4 linked regions of the Schizosaccharomyces pombe genome follow. Changing the gene in region 3 together with the main gene of any one other region gives a genetic interaction. Each region holds a gene or a part of one and is shown on either strand. Other genes may lie near its edges.

Region 1 (4,103 bases), on a different chromosome or scaffold from region 3:
TGGACATGTTCGCCTACAACAGGATGGTCATTATCTTGACTCGATGATGCATTTGAAGTGTTTTTTCCAAGTAAATATCCAGCAGTCAAAGAAGCAGCTGCAACGCCAGATACAATAGGCAAAAAACGGCCTTTCCATACATCAGTTTTGGTTGCAGTACCAAATTTTCGACAAATGCCTGCTTGAAATCCATTTCTCTGCAGTAGAGACCTTCTCATATTATTGTAACCGTTAATCCTTATACATTTTGGAAATCTGAAAAGTAAGTTTTTAGCAAACATGGTTTTTTTGATTTATGGGAAGTTGAGCTCTGAACTTCTAATGTCTGCGTAATGGTCAGAAAGCGGCGACGATCTTACAAGAACGTAACTTTGTCATTCATTCTAAGTTTATATAAGTTTGCATGTTTTTTAAATCAGATTTAAGTAAATAGGTATTCACAAATGTAAGACAAGCAAGACTGGCAGGATTTACGAGATTACTAAGAAATGCCTGAATGACTAATTTCATAATAGAATTAAACTAGCGACATAATAGTTTCACAAGCAAACTTAGGTATGCAAAACAAAAGGTAATTCATTTATAATATTTAATTAGAAGAACGTGAGTATTATTTTCTATAATATGTTAAATTTTTACTATAATAATGTACCAGTAAACGACACTGAATTTTTTCTTTAAAAGAAATATACTGACATCCCAATCTATTCTTCCTTGCCAATTATGTCAACCCAACGTTTGCCCTTAAGCTCGGCAAGAATCTCTTGCTTAATCTTGTGAGCAATTACAGGACCATCATATCCCAAAGCAGTATAAACTTGAACCATAGTTGCACCAGCACGAGCATACTCAATAGCATCTTTGCCAGAAGAAATACCACCACAGCCGATGATGGGAATATCGGAAGAAAGATGCTTACGAAGTGTGCGAAGAGTATTTAATGCGATAGGTTTGAGAGGAGGTCCAGAAAGACCACCCGTCTCTTCAACATGGCTAGTTGATTTGAGGGTCTTAGGGCGTTGAACGGTAGTATTACCAACGATCACACCGTCAATCTTGCACTTTTTGAGGACATCGGCAATGTCCGTGAGTTCTTCTTCGTTCAAATCAGGTGCAATTTTTACAAGTACGGGAGGATGAGGAGAGTTCAATTTATTGCGCTCACTGACAACAGCAGTCAATAAAGTTGAGAGGGCAGATTTCTTTTGTAGGTTACGAAGACCAGGGGTATTAGGAGAGGAAACGTTAATGACAAGAATGTCAGCGAAGTTACCAAAGGTACGAACACCTTCAACATAATCCTCAATCTCGTTACCGTTCTTATTCTTGCCTAAATTGATACCAAGGAACTTGTTAGGAATTAAACTACGAGGTACGCCAAGGACAGCGGGATCAGTGCAAGAAGCGGGATTTGCATCAAACTGTTTTAATAGTTGAGGAGATGTCTTAGCAATGTATTTGCGAACGCGCTTTTGAATCTTAGCAAGGATGGCATCATGGCCGATAGAATTAAAACCGTAACGATTGATTACAGACAAATCAGGCTTAAGGCGGAAATAGCGTGGTTTAGGATTACCAGGTTGAGGTTTAGGTGTGACCGAGCCAATTTCAAGATAGGAAAACCCGAAGTTCAACAAACCTGAGATAGCATCGGCTTGTTTATCGAAACCAGCAGCTAGACCAATGGGATTGCAAAATTTCTTACCCCAAACTTCAACGGCAAGAGATGGATCATCAGCTACACGATCCTTCGGTGTTATACCCCAAGAGGCAGCGAGAATGGCGACACGATGAGAAAACTCAGGAGTGGTGAAAGCATGAAAGAGAGGCATTTCAATGCGGCCATGGATAAAACTACGAACATCGGACATGTCGTAAATGGCAACGCCGGCAGTAAAACTACCAATAACACTCAAAAGCTTCCAATGACGGAGAAAGAAATTGCCATTTGAAGAGCCAGAGCTGGTAGATTGAAAACGTACAGAGGAGCGCTTTAAACCCTGAGCGACACCGCGAAACAAAGATCGTTGATACATTTTAGTATTTTTAATAGAATTCGGCTTAAATAAAAAATTTTCAAAACGAAATTGAAAAAAATATGAATGATAAAATAATAAAATGAAGTTTTATAATAGTTTATGCTTAATATATTTAAACACCAGTTTTTTTCCAAACACAACAAACCCAAGAAAAAATAAACAGAACCAAAAAATAAAAATATGGATTTAAGGATCAGAACAGAATCGTCAATCCGTTTCTTTATCCACCTAGAGACAAGAAGTGTTAATTTATATAAAATGGAGAACTTGGTTCTAATAAGATTTCAACGAAAACAAAGATTTCAGAACCGAAAAAATTTCTCCAAGTGCTAGCAGAGGTATATTCTCTGAGAAAGAACAAAAATCAAAAATTGAATGTTTATATTGAATGTTACCTGTAACAGGTAACATGTTTTTTTAGTAATGCCGGGCTGTCGAAATTTGACTATGAGTTTTGTAAATAAAGCGATGGTTATAAACAATTTTATGATAGTTTTTGCTTTCGAATTAACATTTCATAAAAAATTTGAAAAAGAAAAATTTTAAAAATTTAAGGACAAAATCCACTTGAAAAACAAGTGCGAACAGCTTTTTGCAAAAAAACTACAAACCACTACACATTAGCGAATAAGCCTATTAGGAATTTATTTTAATTTTTGTTGATTTAAATTTCTTTTTTTTTTAAATGGTTAGAATCTAGTTGATAAACTTCTAGCAATGTATTTCCAAATTGTTTCTATTACGTTCGTTGATACAGGCAATTGTTCATTTCTGGTATGACTAAAGCATTTCTATACAATTCAACTTCTCATTTTTTCTAGCTGTATTTATGATGTACAGAGCGTTGGGAGAGAGTTGATTAAGTCAATAGTATTTATGAATGAGACAAGGAACACTCATACTATATCAATGATAAATAGCTTTTATATTATCCTGTTATAATCATAAAAATTAATTTCATCTATATAGACTTAGAAAAAAATGGTTTCGTTTTCACTGTCCTTAAACTACAAATATCGTACACGTGTTACTTGTTCTTCAGGTGTACCCTCACTATTGTCAAATCTTATGAAATTCTTTACTCGTTGACTTGATTGTTATGCGAACAGTATTTTCGCAAATTCCTCGTTTTAAACAAGTCAATCAGTACATACGGATGTCGACAAGGCAGTCAGACATTAGGTTTGTTAGATAGAAGACAGACGTTGACTAACCCATATAGCAACTTCTTCATTTCTTCTGCTTCGCACAAAAGCGAGCACGTGGAGGTTTCTCAATCGTCTTCTGATTCCAAAAATGTTGATGGGAGAAGCACAAGCGAAAAGAGAAAGGTCGAATCAGTGAAATTAGTCGACGAGTCGAAACACAACAACCACGACGACACTGGAACTCAAAATGTTGAGCGTGAAAATAATATTGTGTCTGAGGCAAAAAAGCAAAAGACTTTAGGTTCATCCTCCTCTTCTTCAGATGCCGTATCTAGTAACAACGATTCTGGGGCATCTACTCCAATACCTTTGCCAATCAAAGAACCACCGTTAGAGTCCAATGCTCGCAATGATAAGTTAAAAGGTCATGCAACATTTGCTGAAATGGTAAAAGCATTCACAAAAATAGAGAATACTAGCAAACGGTTGGAAATCATTGATATAATGGGGACTTACTTTTTTGGAATTCTTCGCGACCATCCCAGCGATTTACTGGCCTGTGTGTATTTAAGTATCAATAAGGTATGAACGTTTGGTTTTAAAGGATTTCTCCTTCTCAGTACTAACGTCTTTTTTTACATTAGTTGGGCCCAGATTACTCGGGACTAGAGCTAGGAATTGGCGAAAGCATTATAATGAAGGCTATTGGAGAGTCTACAGGGCAAACGCTTCAACAGATTAAACTATCGTTTCACAAAGTTGGTGATCTTGGTCTTGTAGCTCAAACATCCCGTCAAAATCAACCCACTATGTTTAAACCTGCAGCGCTGACAATTCCATTTTTATTTGACTCATTAAAAAAAATTGCTCAAATGAGCGGAAACCAATCCCAAAATAGAAAAATTGGAGTGATCAA
Region 2 (7,253 bases), on a different chromosome or scaffold from region 3:
GCAGATTCGCAGATTTGAAGAGCCAATAAAATTAAAACAAAAAGAAAAAATCCAAAAACAAAATTGTGCAAAAGTCTGAGGTATACTCTTCAGTCAAGGAAGTTGGGAGGCTTGGTTTACCAACAAGAGACCAAACGAGTTCTAAGTCAAATAAGGTATGCGATAGTAGAGTAAAGATTAAAACCACCATAAGAACCCGGTTATATCTGGTTCAGCTGAAAAGCTTTATGTAAAGAACAAGTTCCCAAAACTTGCTAAAATTCTTCAAATATATGCTACATGCCATATTTTTGATCCGCAGTTTATTGCTGTAGCTAGTGTCGAATTGAAAATTAAAATCCAATTGAATTTAATTATTTTTACATGAATGAAACAATTTACTATCGAGCACAGAAACTGATAAGTGTAAGAAGAATGAAACTAACACTGTTGTTACGTTCCATAATTAAACACTGACAAGAAAACGTAGCTCTGCTATTACTTTCACTATTCATTTTGTATCAAAATTTTTAAAATGGATCGAGGAGAACAATTGTACAATTGTATATCGTTGAAAAAGCATGAGGAAAATACATTGTGTGTAAACGAGTTTTGTGTAACAGTTCTATTTGAACAACTATGAAAGTATTAACAGCCATACAAGGTCATTTTACGAGAATTGACCATTCTTATATTACCGCGAGGCTTTTTCCTGGATTTGCCAAGAAATGCAAAAAACTAATGTCATTGCATTGTCTCGCTCAAGAGTGAGAACATTAACCACTTTTGGGCAATATCCACTTTTCAATAGCATATCTTTAATGAATGTAAGGAAATATTTTTCTGAAAAGAAGGAGGGACGGTCAATTGATTAAGTAGTCGAATTGTATATAGATAAAGATTTCCTCTCATCTTAATACTCGATTGCTACTGAAGATGATTACTTTTAACACGGCATTGGTACAGTGCATTATTGATTGATAACAACACCCACACCAAATATGGCGGATTTCCTACATCAAACAGCGTGTCACTTTTCAACATCGATATTTGGATATGGGCCCAAGGAGTTCTAATCGTCGTTCTAATGCCAAAGATGGCTTCAAGGGTTCAAACAAGGCATCCAAATTTCCATTACCCTTAGCAATGTGGGATTTTGGACATTGTAATCCAAATGCCTGTTCTGGTAAACGATTAGAGCGTCTAGGATGCGTACGAAACCTTAGAATTGGACAGAAGTTTCGAGGAGTTGTAATAACGTAAGTTGAGAACCGTTAGAAAGAAACCCGATCTTAAACTCTTGTCGAATGTTTGCTGTATACAGCGCAAGGGCACTAAGACTAATTATTAATATTTTTTTACCATTTTGCTATGTATCAGATTTTAACGCTGCAGACCAAACGGAAAAGTTCCTGTTTCTCCAGCCGATAAGGAGTACTTTGATAATGGAGGTGCTAGTGTAGTTGAATGCTCTTGGGCTCGCATAGAGGAAATCCCTTTTTCTAGAATTGGTGGTCGCTGTGAGCGGTTGCTTCCATATTTAGTGGCCTCCAATCCAGTTAACTATGGTAGGCCTTGGCGATTAAATTGTGCTGAAGCTCTGGCAGCTTGCATGTATATTGTCGGATATCCTAATGAGGCGAGACTTTTAATGGATAATTTCAAATGGGGACATTCTTTTTTTGAGGTAAACGAAGAACTTCTCGATATTTATGCTCAATGTCATGATGCTCAAGATATTCAAGAAAAAGAAAAAAAATACTTGGAGGAAATGGAAGCTTCTTACCAAGAACAAAGAAATCAAACTACTGACGACATTTGGTCAGCTGGAAATTTAAATCACAAACCAACATTAAACACCAGTTCAACACATTCAAACTCTGAAGAATCTCGGTCACCATTACACGAACCGTCCGAAGCTTCATTGGCTCATGACGAACACTCTATTCCAACAGATGATAATGAAGAGACTCTAACTAATCTGCAAGCCAACGATGTGGATGAAGATGAAGTCTGGCGAAAAATCGTGAGAATGAAAGTTCATTCTACTGATACCTAAAAGATATATACTTTTGGATTTTTATATAATTTATAGTTTGTCTATTATTTATCACCTGTTTTTTGTGCTTTACATATCCATGTAAGGTAATATTGTATAGAGAGATGCAAAATTAATAAATATGGTAAGCTTTCAATAAGTTTCATAAACAATCATAACCTGATAAATGCAAGTAAAAAAAAATATAACTTTCTAAGGTATATAGCTTTTTAAGCCTGAAAGAATCAAATCTTTCTTCGTTCCAGCCAAAGAGTCCTTAATTTCGTTTGCCCATTCAGCGCTCATCTCTTCTAAATCGTCCATAGTATTTTCAATTCCTCCTAACATATTCCCCCGTTGGGCTAAATGGTCGTTTATTTGAGCGAAGAATCCTTTCTGTTGTTGTTGCCTTCTTGGAGGGATATAACTTTGAGCAGACTGAGAAGTCATGGAAGGAACCGGGGTCAGTGGTTGCTTAACTGATTCTGCTGGGCGAGCTGAAATAACTTTAGGAGTCTCTAAAGTATGCACTTTACTTTCAGCCCTGTTTTCACCTCCGAGTAAGATATCTAGCTCTTCAGCAGATGTAGACTGTTCGCCCAGTAACCAATTCCACAAGGATTTACTAGGTCTTGGCGGTACATGGGAAGCATTGTGAGTAATAAGCATCATGGGTGCCAAATTCGCCAATGTTCTCCCACTTCCTAAAACACAGCCAAAGGCTAATTCATGTGCTCCTAACGTTGGGAAAATATAATCCCCATTGCCTAGAATATCACCTTCTTTGAGCCTAATGGAATAGTTAGCAAATTCATTTCAAGTAAACACCTTACCTATTTTTATCAATATCCAATGGAAGTTGCATTTTACGTTCCTCACGAAGGTTTGGGAGAGAATACCAATTCACCGAAAGATCAGAATTTACGCAAACTACGGAACCCATGTGTTTGGAAACAGTAGAAAGCACAAGAGCTGCTCGACAACAAACAGGTTTTCTCCAATCCAGGTTACCCACTTGATTATTAATTTTATTAAAAACAGAAATTCCTGAATCGCCAATATACACGAGGAAAACTTCCTGTGGTAAGGGATATCCAACGCTTTGTAATGAGGATCCAGTGGCTGTCGCGATCTGGCCATCTTGAGTTAAAGAGCATATTTTATAAATGTTCTTAATATCTAATTGTCGAGATGATTCAAAATAAGCAGAAAAGCGCCCTGAAGAGGAAGGGTCTATACGGAATAAAAGTGTCATCCCTCTATATGTTCCTGTGACTACGTAGATTGAGGAAGGGCTTCCTTTAGGGTTCATAACGACAAACTCGGCACTCGTAAGAAAATCGGGATCAGGTTTTCCTCTTCTCTCTAATCCAAGCTCCGAGATGCTGGTGTTACACAGTATATGGGGGCCACGCATGTCGATGATTGTAATTCCACCATCCTGATATCCTATACAAACAAAACCAATATTGCTCATTTGGTTCAATGTTACTCTTCCTCGTTTAAGATCAATATAATATTGAGCATGTAATGTTCCCTCTAGAACTAAGGTATCGTCCAAACGATATATTCCGTTAGCGAGCTGAGCTGGTAAATTTTCTTTATGATTTTTCCTTTTGCAAACAATGACACGCCCAAAACTATCAGCACAACTGAATTCTGGATTATAAGTGGAAAAAGAGGCAGTAGTTATAAAAGCTGAAGGCGTGAGATGCTTTCGCATTACAGAAGAGAAATCCAAATTTACGCAGAGAGATGGATTCATAAAACCCTGAGATATATCCCAAATCGATAAACTAAGACCAGTCGATGTTATAAGTAGATTACGCTCATCTAATTTCTTAAGATAGCCGGGACTAGGAGATCCGCCAAAAAGACAGGAGTAATGTGAATTAACGGAAATAGTATCTTCAATTTGATTCCAAACTTTTTTTGTTACAGTTTGAAATGCTATAACTCGAAAATCTGAAGCAAGGAAGCATAAAGAGGGGGGAATAGAAAGGCTCATGTTTGAAATATTTCCAGTAGAAATGTCGAGCAGCGATAACGAGTTGTCTTCCGAAAGAAGGAGAAGATTCTTGGGATTATGAGATCCATTGTAATGTGGTGAGCTAGAAGGAATCACCAGCATATCACGTACAGGGGGGATGTCAATAAAAGGAAAAAAGCGTTGTGAGTTTGGATTTGCGAAAAATTCCGCAAATGTTTCAACATCCTTTTTGGCAGGGAGATTTCGATAACTGAACAATGAAATTCCCTTTACCGGTGCTTCTTTCGGCAAACCACCTAACATCAAAATAAATGAAACTGTTGGGTCTTCACAACAACACCACCTCATAGACCTAATGGGCTCAAGCTCCGTCTTAGGAGGATTTCTCTGCATGGGGGTATACGTGTGTATGTTTGAATCGACAAAATTTCGGACTTGTACAGGATATTCTTGATCCACATCCCAGAATGCAAAAGTCGAATCAGTATAGTAACTAACAAAGTGATCACCCCAAGGACTCCACTCTATCCCTTTGACTATAGGTCTTCGATAATTATGGGGTGATAAAACTGCAGCTGTACTACCTGGTGCATACTCCAATTCATAAAAGCGTATAACTTCGTCAGTCCTTATTGAGTACAAAACAACGCCATCCGGATATGCAATCAAAATCACACCGAGATCCTTCGGGTGAATCTGAACGCTTACAACTGGGGATAGCTTTCCAGGAACTGGTGCATAAGAGTAGCCTGAAAATTAGTAATAAATTCAAATAAACAACAATGACCTCAACGTACCCATCATTCGCCATTCCTCGTGTCTTGGGACATACAAATTTGGAACTTTGAATTTTCCAAGGCAATGTCTAGTAACATCCCATGGCACAACGGAGCCATCACTCATTCCAAAAAAAACCCAATCAATAGTAGGATCCGTTACGGTACATGTAACTTTTTGCTTGAGAAAGTAAGTGGCAGCTGGTTTTGAAAGGTCACGATGTTTCATCAAGGGATAGCTTAAGACCGTATTTCGAGAGTCAATTACAATCAAATACGCCGCACAAAGGGCTATATGGACAATGGTTGAACAGTCTGGAACTATCACACTCTGGACATGCTGTTTACCGTAAATGTATATCCGATTAGTACTAGATACAATAGCTAGTAAGCCTTGTTGATGGTCTAAACACCATAATACTGGATTTAAGGAAAACCCAAATCGATTCAACTAATCTTTGTTATTAAACATTCAACAAGCATTGCTTCCCTACTTACGTCGTCTATCGATAGTGAAGCATTTGAAGACGTATGGGTCTTCAAATTGGATTTGGATAAAATTTCTTTTCCCTTACTTAGCTTTTTTTTAAAAAAGCTCATATTTTCCCAATTCTTGGTATAAATATACTAATCATGTTATACCCTCGTAGCATATACAAACTCACGCTCAACTCGTGTTAGAGAACGCTATTTTTGGATAACGTCTTGTGCCGTTAAACCAATAATAATGTAAGCTACGCAGTTTGGTATCTGATTTAAGGATACGTAAACTGCGGTGAGTTTTCCTTGTAACCTATTATATTACAATAAACAGGTTGTATGAGTAGCAACTGAGTATTGTATTAACTGTGTTATAATGTTACCTATCACTAATATAGCTCATAACTGAACTGAGGAACGAGGTTCAGTTGTAACGCTATTTATAATATTTCTAAATAGTTGTTATCAACTGGTAACTAGTATATAGATGGATAGTTACCCGTGATTATCAATAAACGGATCTTAGCTAGTATTCCAACATATGACATATAGTGATACACAACGTAGTGTATCATAGCGTAATGTAGTATTGCTGACAAATAATGAGACTTCTAATTTTATCCTTATAGCACTGAATTCGACTTTGCATCATTCACTAGTCAAACCGCAAGCGATTTTGAGCGGGCCTAAAGCCAGACACCAAGCTGGAGATTGCTTGGTTTACCCGTGAAGGTTTATAGAATCGAAATATCAGTTTTACATTGATAAAGTATCTATTTTTAATTCTCTATTATTTTCTAACAGGCTTCTGTGGAATTGGCGGTATCATACGGGCTGCATGTCAAAACACATGGGAAGTCTTTTTGCAATATCTTTAAACCCTGAGTACTAGTGATTCAACATTTCTCTCCTTTCTTAATATTTTATTTACCTGCAAGAAATTGGGCTATTACTAACATCCCAAGTCTGTCTTTTGCAAATTAGTTCACTCGTTTCAGCCGAATCTTAATTTTTTTAATCATAAACTACTTAAGCAGCAATCTCCAATTCGTTTGACAAAAAAAAGGTTTTTTATCTTGAATTCTTTTCAAAGTAACTAATACTGTTCTGGGTATATGGCTGCCGATATCGGATCGCAGTCATCAGGCTCTTTGGAAGAACGGTTTGAACAGTCTCTTCATCTTCAGAATGTCGATAAGCAAGATTGGTCACTTAACAGTGTACTTCAGTTTTTAAAACTATACAAATTTAACAAAGAATGGGAAGACGTTTTTATTAAAAGTCGAATCGAAATGGATTTATTTATCAATTTGGCCGATCAATCAAAAGCCGAGGAATTCGCCTTTAAAAATAAATTGAGCAAGGAGTCTGCCATCCAATTGAGTAGCTGTATTCGCAAAACACTTTTAGCACCTTCTTCGACTCGCGTACCTAGCAAAAACTCGTCTTACGAAACATTAACTTACAGCGCCAAAGATAGTTCGGATGACGTTTTTACAGAAACTAACTCTGGTTTCCGCTCTTCAAATCAAAATTCGTCCCTCAAAAGCTTTCAGAGTGTTCCTGATAGCAATGTGAACGTGTTTGGTGGCTTCGGTGGATCAGTAGTCGACAACAATGAGCTATTGAGCACAGGAAAAAACTCCCATCAAACAACCTCTTTAAATTTGGAAGGCTCTCCTATAAACTTACACGCTTACAAAGGAACTGTCACTTCAATAATTAACGATGACAGCAGAAACATTAATAAAAAAACATTGTCGAAACAACCTGTATCCGAACATAAAGAAAAACAAACTAGCTTTCTCCGTCGTTTCCGGGTACCTGGGTTTTCTCGTGACAAGGATAAAACTAAAGATTGCCCTTCTTCAAATTCGAACCCATTCCATTTAGCTTCTTCAAATGTGAAAACATTAGACGCGTCTTTGGATCAAGGTGAGTGGGTACCTCGTATTCATCGTTTAGAAAGTCAAATTGGTTTAATATCCAA
Region 3 (5,003 bases):
ACTTTATAGAAGTATAGCCTGTATAAAGACGCTCAAGTATTAAAAAATATAAATTCACATTTCGTTCATTATTCTTTAGAGTGTTAGCTCTGCAGACTCTGCTGATTTTTATTTTGTTTTCGCAAGTAGTAACCAAATTATAGAACCTCTTTGACCTCCTCGGAGAGGAGACTCCCGCAGCTACTACTACCGAGAAGAAAACCGCTGCTTCTCGTGACAAAAAGCGCTCCGACAGCCCTCCTGTCCCCCGCGAATTAGTCGCTCAAAGCACCACCTCTAGGAAGCGTGACCCTAACCAACCCACTCCTCGTGAGCGTACCGTTAATAAGAAGGCAGACCAACCTCGCAGACGCCGTCAAGCTCCTCAAGGAAACGAAGCCTTTGCTCGTGAAGGCAAAGAAGCTCGTGCTAACAACGCTGCCCATCCTGTGGATGCCACTGGCGCCCCCTCCAACCGCCGCAATGCTCGTGCTCGCCGTGGTCGTGAATTTGACCGCCATAGCCAAACTGGTAGAGTGTATGTGTTTTATTTTTCTACATGTGAATGCCAAATTATATAATTGCTAACCATTATTTTAGTGATACCAAGAAGGCTACTGAACGTGGCTGGGGTGATCTCGTAAACTCTGCTGCTAACCCTGATGTTGCAGAGAACGAAGGTAACACTCCCTCTGGAGCCCAAACTCCTGCTGCCGAGGAGGAAAATGTTAAGACTCTTGATGAATATCTGTCTGAACGCAAGTCCGCCGCAAAGCCTGTTGGTCGTACTGTTGAGAAACTTGAAAACGCTACTAAGGTCGAGAAGAGTGCCCCCGAAGAATTGTTTGCCTCTCTTAAGAAGAGCGCTTCTCAAAAGAAGTCTGCTGCCAAGGAAAGCAAGCCAAAGAAGGTTCTTCTTGATATCGAGCAAACTTTTACTGCTCGTCCTGCTCGCGGTGGCCGTCCTAACCGTGCTCCCCGTCGTGGTCCTTCAGAAACTGCCTCAAAAACCCAACAGGCACCTCCCACCCTTTCTGAGACTGACTTTCCCGCTCTTGCATAGATGAACTGGTGACTTGAGAGTAGCCTATTGATGTGGAGCGTTTGATTGGTCTTGGATGAAATTTCGTTGTCAAGCGTATGTGGAAAGGTGTGTGTTATCTTACAGATCCCTTTTTGTTTATTTTCCATTGAGCATCATTCGGGTTTCTAGGTTATTCAGTGATTCTTATCATTAAAGCGGTCTAAGGTGTATTCTGTGGTTGCATTCCCTTTTTTGATCCACATTTTGCGATGAATTGACTAAATATTTTTCAAAATGGTCGAATACTAGTGTGTAAAAAAAATTTCATTCTCGTATCTATTCACAACTAATATTAAGAAGATGCGCGTTTAAATCGTCTACCGACTGTTATCTTGATATAACGTATCTTATTTTTAATCTGTAAATATCAGCCTTAGTAATTGTGTACATAACAAAAGCATATTTCAGTGTACGGTAGGTCTGCCTGTGCAATTCACAAATACTCCATTTATTATTCCAATTGATTTTGTCATTTTCAAATGTCGTTTGCAGGGATATTGAAACGGACGTTGAATAAAGCCTTCTTAACCTTGTAAAATGACTATAGGAAAGTTATGAACGAGTTTGTGTATCGGTAACATAACAGGTAAATCACTCTTCATAATGCAAATTGCGGTTTACTTTTTATAGCATCATTTTTGATAGCTATTTAAAAAATTTGAAAGTTAATATAATTAATAAACTCGAGGATATGAGCAAACTGATAAAACGCGCTATATCGCGAATTCGCGCTTTAAAGGGCGTCGCGTCGCGTTGCGTTGGACACCGCTTATATACGTGCCACAAGTACGCAACAATCGACGAGTCGCAAAAAAACTGTCTCTGATTATTACTTTTCCTTCTGATTCTCTGCTACTAGGAATCTTTATATTGGTTTCCGTTTAGAAAAAATAACAAGATGGATAGGTCAATGGAACCATTGACCCCATCTCGTTTAAACACTTTGGGGGAAAGGCCAACAAACGAAGTGTATGAGTATGGAAAAGGAAAAAATGTGCAACATTTATTTCCTATAACACCGATGCAGAGACCATTAGGAAAAGAGAATGCGGCTCCAGGGACGATTTCACCGATTGCGGTTCGATCTCGAAATGTGCGTGCAGTAGAAATTGCAGATGAAAATGCATGTGAAGAGCCAGTCTTAAAAATAAAATCTGTTAGTAGTACGGAGAGTGAAGAGGAAAAAGAATCTTCTACTGAGATAGGAGAGAAACAGGAAAAAGAAACACATTTAGAACCCAAGACACCAGTACAAACCAATACCAACAATAATCACTTAGACGACATTCAGTGTTGTGCTAAAAACTTACGCTTACGTCTTGAATTGGCTATGTATAAAGTACAAGTTAATCAAACATTTTCCCCTCTGCAAGATCTTCCCATTGTCGCTAAAACGAAGCTTCACAATTGTCCAAACTCTGAACCTGTTACCTCCATATGGAACCAGAGATCGCTTTCTTCTGGAAAGCCTCCGTCCTTACATCTTTCAGGGAATCGCAGGCTTTCCATGGGATCTCCCACGAAGTCGATATATGATCAGAATGGTTTGACAACGCCAAGACCGATCGGTTCTGATGATCTAACACATATGTATGATCCTTATACCTCTCCTTTACGCACCCCTTCTCGTACGCTATCACGCTCCTCCTCTCATTATCTGTGGGTTCGTCATGGTAAATTGACACGTAGCGTATCTCTTTTACAACATAAAACGCCTAGACGCATTCGGCCAAAATCACTTTCTAAAAGCAATTCTACACCGTTAAAGCATTTAAGCGCTCAGAAACCAAATTCAAATTACTATACTGGCCCGCCTACTCCAGTATCCATATCCAACACTCCAGAAAACATTCATCCATCATCTTCCGAAGTAAGGCGTATTGCAAGTCACAGCAAGCAATTTTCAGACTATGGTTTAATTCGATGATCCTTCTTTTTACATTTTAAACCGAGTTATGGAATAATGTTATGAGATGATTTTTATAATACTTTAATTACTCTAGTTGTCGTTCATTTCCTTTCTGACAGATTTCTATATGTGAATTATTTTGAAATGCAAAAAATAACTTTTAATTCCTCGCAACACGTTCTTTTATTTCTTACTTGTTATGTAACAAGTCAGTCGTTAATAAAATTATTATCGCTGGTAAAGCCATCCTTCGTTTTATTTAATGCCTTAATTCATACGTACATCTTATATTGAGGTTTCTAGATTTCTTATATCCATTGAAATTCGTTCCCTCCGTTTGGGATCCAGTTTTTTAAGATATTACGAAGAATTTGCTTTTGCTGGCAACGTTTGATGTTGAGTTTCTTCCATTCATAATAGTTTTTTTCATTAGTCAACGATTGACTTAATTGATGCAGCAAATTCATCATACTCTTTCTACATATTAATGTTTGAGACTTTTCAACGTCTTTAGCTTTTGTTCCCGCTTTAATACCATTATGTATCACTTGAGTACACTGCATTTTATCACCGATCCATATCAAAACGTTTGTACTAGTTGCAGTTTTTTCTGCTTGGTTCAACGGCCGTGAATATAAAAAATTTTCATCCGTTTCCAGCACGGTAAAAGGATGAAAGTAATAAGGATTATCCTTTTCTCCAAATTCAGCAAGTGGTGCGCACCGACCAAAGGGTCCAAATGCTCTGTCAATTGCTGATTTAACTATCACTTTTTTATAAAGCACTACACATGATAAATAGATGGGCTCACAAATGAGGCTGGTCTGGGAATTCAAAATAGAAAGATATTGTTTTGCAGCTAATTTATCAGTACAGCTTTTGCTCCAGCTTACTGGGGCATCAGGTCTCCCCGGTTTAGTACGCACGATTCCAAGTAGTCCAAAATCCGCCCTCCCACGCATTAATTTCTCTGAATCAACTGTTAAGTTCCATGGTTTGTTGTTTTCCAAGCGGCTAGCTAGTAGCTCCATACTCGCATCTCCGCAAGGACATTCGGAAACGTACAGATGTATCAGAAGATTGCTGTTTAGAGTAAATTTACCATTATCAGCAACTTCAAGAAGCCACGTATCTTTCTTTGATTCTTTAATTAAAATACAATGTTCGAGAAGTAATCTTAATTCTTTTATTAGTAACGAATACTAACAAATATACAAATAATTGTATATATTACCTGTTAAAACATCTTAATGCCAGAATCTCAGCATGACAATCATGTAATACACTACCCAGTTGTTCATTCTTAATGATGCCAGCTGGCGTACTAAATTGACTTGTTAATGAAAAAAATCAATTGGTAGCATACCATTTTACACCTGTTCTTTAGATGTCAGTTTACCGATATTAATAAAAAAGACGTACGCTAGACAAACACAAATAAATTCGTTCTCCATCTTTTTCTGAATGACAACACCGGCTAAAGTAGTCCATTCACGCACCCCATTTGCTCTTATGATCGGTTTGCCATGACGGGCTAGTTCATCAAATTTGTTAAGGACTGCAAGAGCTATTAAATTCCCAACATTACTGTTTCTATCTAGGGTAAATTCTTCCATTTTCTAATGAATTTCATAAATCCATACTTTATATTCAATTGTATTAAGAAAAGAGTACTTCGGGAGCGTAAATCCTGTGATATGTTGTGACCGTAATTAAATACTAATATTTTGTTTCCAACTGTTAATTAATAACAATTGGGTATTCCTAATAGCAAAGCTTATTCGCTGTAAGTGATTGAAGTACAAATGTTGGCAAAAGCATTTGTGGTAGTGTGTTGAAGCAAGTAATTTTGTCTGCATACGAGTAATTTACCAACTACCACAACTATTAGAATGTCACTTTTTGGACAGGCTACAACATCTACAGTATCTAATGCAACCGGTGACTTAAAAAAGGATGTGGAGGTTTGTTAATTTTACATATACGCTACTTACATTTGCTAATTACACGATAGGTTGCCCAACCCCCGGA
Region 4 (4,034 bases), 1.5 Mb from region 3:
TACTGACCCAACAGAACTCTGACCCGATGGACCGTAAATGCTTGCCCATCCTGGTGAAACAAGTGAAAATCTCTCGCGAGAGGAAATCCATTCAGTACCGTTAAATAGAACTACGTCTATAACGACATCTTGAGAAGTAGTATTATTGGCATCGACAGGAGGATAAATGGCCAAATCTTTGTCATTACTAGGAATGCCTGGTGATGGTAGAGCATTAGCTAGACCCGCGGCACCTAGGAGAGAAACAAACAAGCTACCAAAGAATTGCATCGTCACCGAGATCTAGAAAATGCAATAAAAAAACCATGCTCTTTTAAATAGAGATTTAACACAAATTATATCGATTACATAGAAATGATTTCAATTGCCTCTTAAAGATTGATAAAAAAATTAAAAGTTGATGACTTCAACAACCTAGCAGCCCTATCAAAATATGATGGAAGAAAATCGTTGCTAAACATATAGGATGCCAATGACCAACTATGTTCTGGGAATCTTTTCAACTGTCATTATTCCCAATTACGGACTTGAAAGAGGGTAATACTGTTTCTTTTTGAGCCACCAACATTCTTTCTGAAATTCACAACTTCGGCATTTGTAGACTTCCTCTGCAGGAACGCCTTCAGGCTCCCTTAAATTGTGCCAAAATTGATAAGCCTTAGTATAGGAAGCTTCTAATAATTTATTGCTAAAAGAGAATTTGTCTTTGTATACCACTTCTCCTGTTTTGTCATTCCTGTATGCCTAGTAAAAGATGTTAGTAACGATAGTTCAGACAATCATATTACGAAAAGGATTCTAATCATCGTAAAAAAAATTAAAAGTTGTAATGATAACGAAATAATTTTCGAGTTAATTGGTTGTGTCACTTACAATGGTAAGATTGTCATCAGTAAGACGTAAATGCAACTTCTTAGCTGAAGCAAATACGAGTGCATAAAGTCCATTTAGCGAGTTATGACCTGCAAAGACATCTTCAGGAATATCGGGAATTGAAAGAATTGATTGCTCTAAAAATTTCGGCCCCAAGTCCTTGGTGCCGTCCAGCGATAGTTGGCTCAAAAACATGTTCCACCAGTGACTTTGAGAATGAAGTCTGTTAGAATATGTAGGAGAAATATCCCTAAAAATGCTTTGTTGTTTTTCTCCTAGAGAGGGGAAATAATTTAAAAAGAGATGAACGTAATACATTAGTTGTACTTTGGAACTAAGAATTTGTGAAGCTCCAGGCTTTCTGGAAGAAAACCGAGTTTTATTGTCAACAAAACTTAAATCGTACATTTTGAAATTGAAGTAATTGCGGATGTCACTATTAAAATTGCTTTTTGAAGGGTTGTTTAGACTTATTTCATCAATAATGCCAAAAATTGAGGACTCTTTGTAATATCCCCAGATTGGAAACTCTCTTGTAATTCCATTTTTTTGTAATAACATAATACCTTCTAATTGCCTTAATAATCGTAATGCCCATGGTTCCTCCTTGGATGTCCGATCAAGCACTCGACGTTCTGATGGAGGGGAGGTTTCATACTCAAGTATTTGATGCAGCTTAATTCCGCGTTCCATCTTCGGGGTCTTTTTTTTAATTCTTCTCAATAAATAGTATTCATGTTGCACTTCACACCACAAAGGTAAAACAAGGTCAGTAACCTAATAATAGGTTCTGTCAGTAAATGAAAAACATGCAATTGATTAATGCTTGTAAATGATTATGCTAAGAATAGCATTGTCTCAATCCGCTATTATAAATCTGTTGACAAAACCATAAAAAATCATTCACAAACTTCAGAAAGACCTTACATTTAAATAACCTTTGTGTTTTCGAAACAGTTGGAATAATGAACTTTCTTTTAACATTTCACAAACTGAACGTTGATTATTAGCTTGTCTGGTTCATGACTTGAGTGAAATATATCGTACCTTCGTCCTCTAGTTTAGAAATTTCCCTGCTTACGAGCAATTGTGGTGGAATGCTCAAAGAATAATCCAATTGGCTAATAGTCAATCTTTGTGTTTCAAGATAGTCCATATAAGAGACTAATTCGCTCAAATCTTCCATCTCAAAATCTTCATATTCTTCCATAGACTTAATGTTTCGTTAGGATGATTTATTCAGGTGCGGGTTACGTTAGTTCACACATTTAATAGAATAATTCTTTTTTTTAAAGTAACCAACCAGACGGTAAAAAAGCTTTACACTAGTTTTATTAAAATGGTGGAACGTAAATGTCTAGTGTAACCAAAACTAGCAATGTAAACTGTGCTAAACTATTGATGATAGAAGTACTTTCACAGTTTCTTTTCGTTCAAAGAAATTAAAACTTTGAACAAGTAGATTAAGTTTCTGGCAATGTCAAACTACGTTTGTTAATGGCTAATGTTATTGCGGCACAAAAACTAATTATCAGCGATGCTTCAATGTCTAAGATGGAGGTCTATTTCATTATAATTGTTATTAGTAGATTCAAAAACCTTTAATCTAATTTAATTTTGTCATCTAACTCTATGCAAATTGTTTCATAAGATAAATTAAAGTATTTCTCTATTAATTTCCCAGTTCTTTAATATACAAAATTCATTTCAAAAATCCAGAACTCTATAAAAAACCCATGTTTTTCTTATAGTTATCAATTTCTGCTTGGGTCAAACGATCTTGAGATGACCAGTCAGCAGAAGAGCTTCTTGGTCGAAATCGAATCTTCGATCGATCCTTCGATCGGAAATACTCATCCATTTGCAGAGGTTTAATCATACCGAAAATTTTGTCTGGATCCCACTTTTGTTGTCGTTTTAATTGCTCTCGTAACTCAGGTGATTCAGCCCACGATGGTAAATTTACCTTTTTCTTATTACCTTCATCATCTGAATCATCCGAATAATCGCTATTTATTTCTGGTAATTCCACAGACGTGTTAGGCGATAGGGATCCATATCCAGGAAAATAATTCGACTTAGGCGTTTTCAGTAACGGTGATTTAGAAGAGGGCTCCTGCATAGACGAGTTCCTACCTTTAGCTGGAGCGTGCATAGAAGCTTTTTCAATAAAAGGTTTATTTGATTGTGAAGTACTAGAAGATGGAAGCTTTCCTTTCATAATACCATTCTGCTTAGTAAAAGGGTTGACGTTGTGATGCATTGTTTTGAATCCATGTTGATTCGTAAGACCGACATTACCATGTACGGGATTCTTATTTTTTTGTGCAGCTATCTTCTTTTTTCGATCTTCATTCTGACTATTAGTGGTCCCTATATCGAAGTTGTTTCTCAAACTACCAACAGAAGGCTGAGTTACAGAAGTAACTGAGTCAGGCTCCATTTTTTTTGGAATAGTTGAATGAAATGCCAATGACATGTCCTCAGCTAGCTCATTCGCAAACCTTTGAGTGGGTTTCGACGTGACGCGTGTTAACCCAGATTTTAGCATATGCCTTGAAGTTGCACCGTTGTCGGTTAACGGTTTCTTCTTTCGTAAATCTTCTTGTCTTTTTAACATATTTGAATGCCATGAAGCATTCACATTTGATGGGTTAGTAACAAGTCTTTTGGTCGTTGGTTTTTCTGATTTTTCCTCAAATGGCTTATTTGAGTGCATGCTTTTACTTGATGGTATAGCATCTGGTTCAGAACGAGGTTTATCGGAAATAGTATGTTCCATATCCCTAATGTTAGATGAATTGGCTGATGTGACAGTTTTGGTCTGACGACTTGGAAATTCGTTGTTTGATAACTCTCGTTCTTTACCATAGAACTTTTTGAAGCGATGAGTTTCGTTTTCAGAAGAGCGGCTTTCCATATTTGAAGCATTTGCTGCTCCATTTTTTGCTTTTCGCTTTTCAGTTTGCTCAAGTTCGCGTTGAGAGGCTGTGGCCACACGAATTGCAATCGGACGTGAATGCGGAGCAAAGTTGTGATCAGAATTTTGACGAGAATCATCATGCAATGGTTCAGATAACTTGTGCAGAGATTTTTCAATAAATTCCTTCTTGGAAGGCGGCAAAGAAGAGTCCGTATTTTCGTTTGCATCCGATTTCAAA

What was found.
Region 1: mutations in nrm1 (region 3) and ura3 together harm fitness more than expected from each alone (negative genetic interaction), as found in Schizosaccharomyces pombe (one large-scale study listed by BioGRID).
Region 2: mutations in nrm1 (region 3) and sro7 together harm fitness more than expected from each alone (negative genetic interaction), as found in Schizosaccharomyces pombe (one large-scale study listed by BioGRID).
Region 4: mutations in nrm1 (region 3) and exo5 together harm fitness more than expected from each alone (negative genetic interaction), as found in Schizosaccharomyces pombe (one large-scale study listed by BioGRID).

What each region holds. Positions count from the first base shown.
Region 1 is NC_003424.3:1,384,806-1,388,908, forward strand, and holds ura3 (mitochondrial dihydroorotate dehydrogenase Ura3), read right to left. Parts: upstream 2,341-4,103; 5' UTR 2,037-2,340; coding exon 705-2,036; 3' UTR 552-704; downstream 1-551. Other genes in the region: disulfide relay system thiol oxidase subunit Mia40, read right to left, coding at 1-281; ATP-dependent DNA replication ligase Cdc17, read left to right, coding at 3,139-3,221, 3,262-3,769, 3,832-4,103. UniProt on the Schizosaccharomyces pombe protein: In the de novo pyrimidine biosynthesis pathway, catalyzes the stereospecific oxidation of (S)-dihydroorotate to orotate with reduction of flavin and the transfer of electrons to ubiquinone, which is part of the respiratory chain.
Region 2 is NC_003424.3:615,974-623,226, reverse strand, and holds sro7 (Lgl family protein), read right to left. Parts: upstream 5,404-7,253; 5' UTR 5,384-5,403; coding exon 5,282-5,383; exon of another isoform or gene 5,235-5,281; coding exon 4,805-5,234; exon of another isoform or gene 4,757-4,804; coding exon 2,851-4,756; exon of another isoform or gene 2,808-2,850; coding exon 2,231-2,807; 3' UTR 2,039-2,230; coding exon of another isoform or gene 1,375-2,038; 3' UTR 1,239-1,374; coding exon of another isoform or gene 1,036-1,238; 3' UTR 524-1,035; downstream 1-523. Other genes in the region: SSU-rRNA maturation protein Tsr3, read left to right, coding at 1,036-1,238, 1,375-2,038; MEK kinase (MEKK) Mkh1, read left to right, coding at 6,379-7,253.
Region 3 is NC_003423.3:4,284,081-4,289,083, forward strand, and holds nrm1 (protein nrm1), read left to right. Parts: upstream 1-1,863; 5' UTR 1,864-1,961; coding exon 1,962-2,990; 3' UTR 2,991-3,280; coding exon of another isoform or gene 3,281-4,148; 3' UTR 4,149-4,206; coding exon of another isoform or gene 4,207-4,296; 3' UTR 4,297-4,338; coding exon of another isoform or gene 4,339-4,353; 3' UTR 4,354-4,394; downstream 4,395-5,003. Other genes in the region: oga1 (protein stm1), read left to right, coding at 144-517, 580-1,042; tad1 (tRNA specific adenosine deaminase), read right to left, coding at 3,281-4,148, 4,207-4,296, 4,339-4,353, 4,395-4,588; nucleoporin Rae1, read left to right, coding at 4,865-4,936, 4,987-5,003. UniProt on the Schizosaccharomyces pombe protein: Negative regulatory component of the MBF complex involved in cell-cycle-dependent transcription.
Region 4 is NC_003423.3:2,770,933-2,774,966, reverse strand, and holds exo5 (single-strand DNA-specific 5'-3' exodeoxyribonuclease Exo5), read right to left. Parts: upstream 2,115-4,034; 5' UTR 2,084-2,114; coding exon 1,921-2,083; exon of another isoform or gene 1,866-1,920; coding exon 1,801-1,865; exon of another isoform or gene 1,651-1,800; coding exon 874-1,650; intron 745-873; coding exon 520-744; downstream 1-519. Other genes in the region: SPOM_SPBC685.03 (uncharacterized protein), read right to left, coding at 1-270; INCENP-like protein Pic1, read right to left, coding at 2,597-4,034.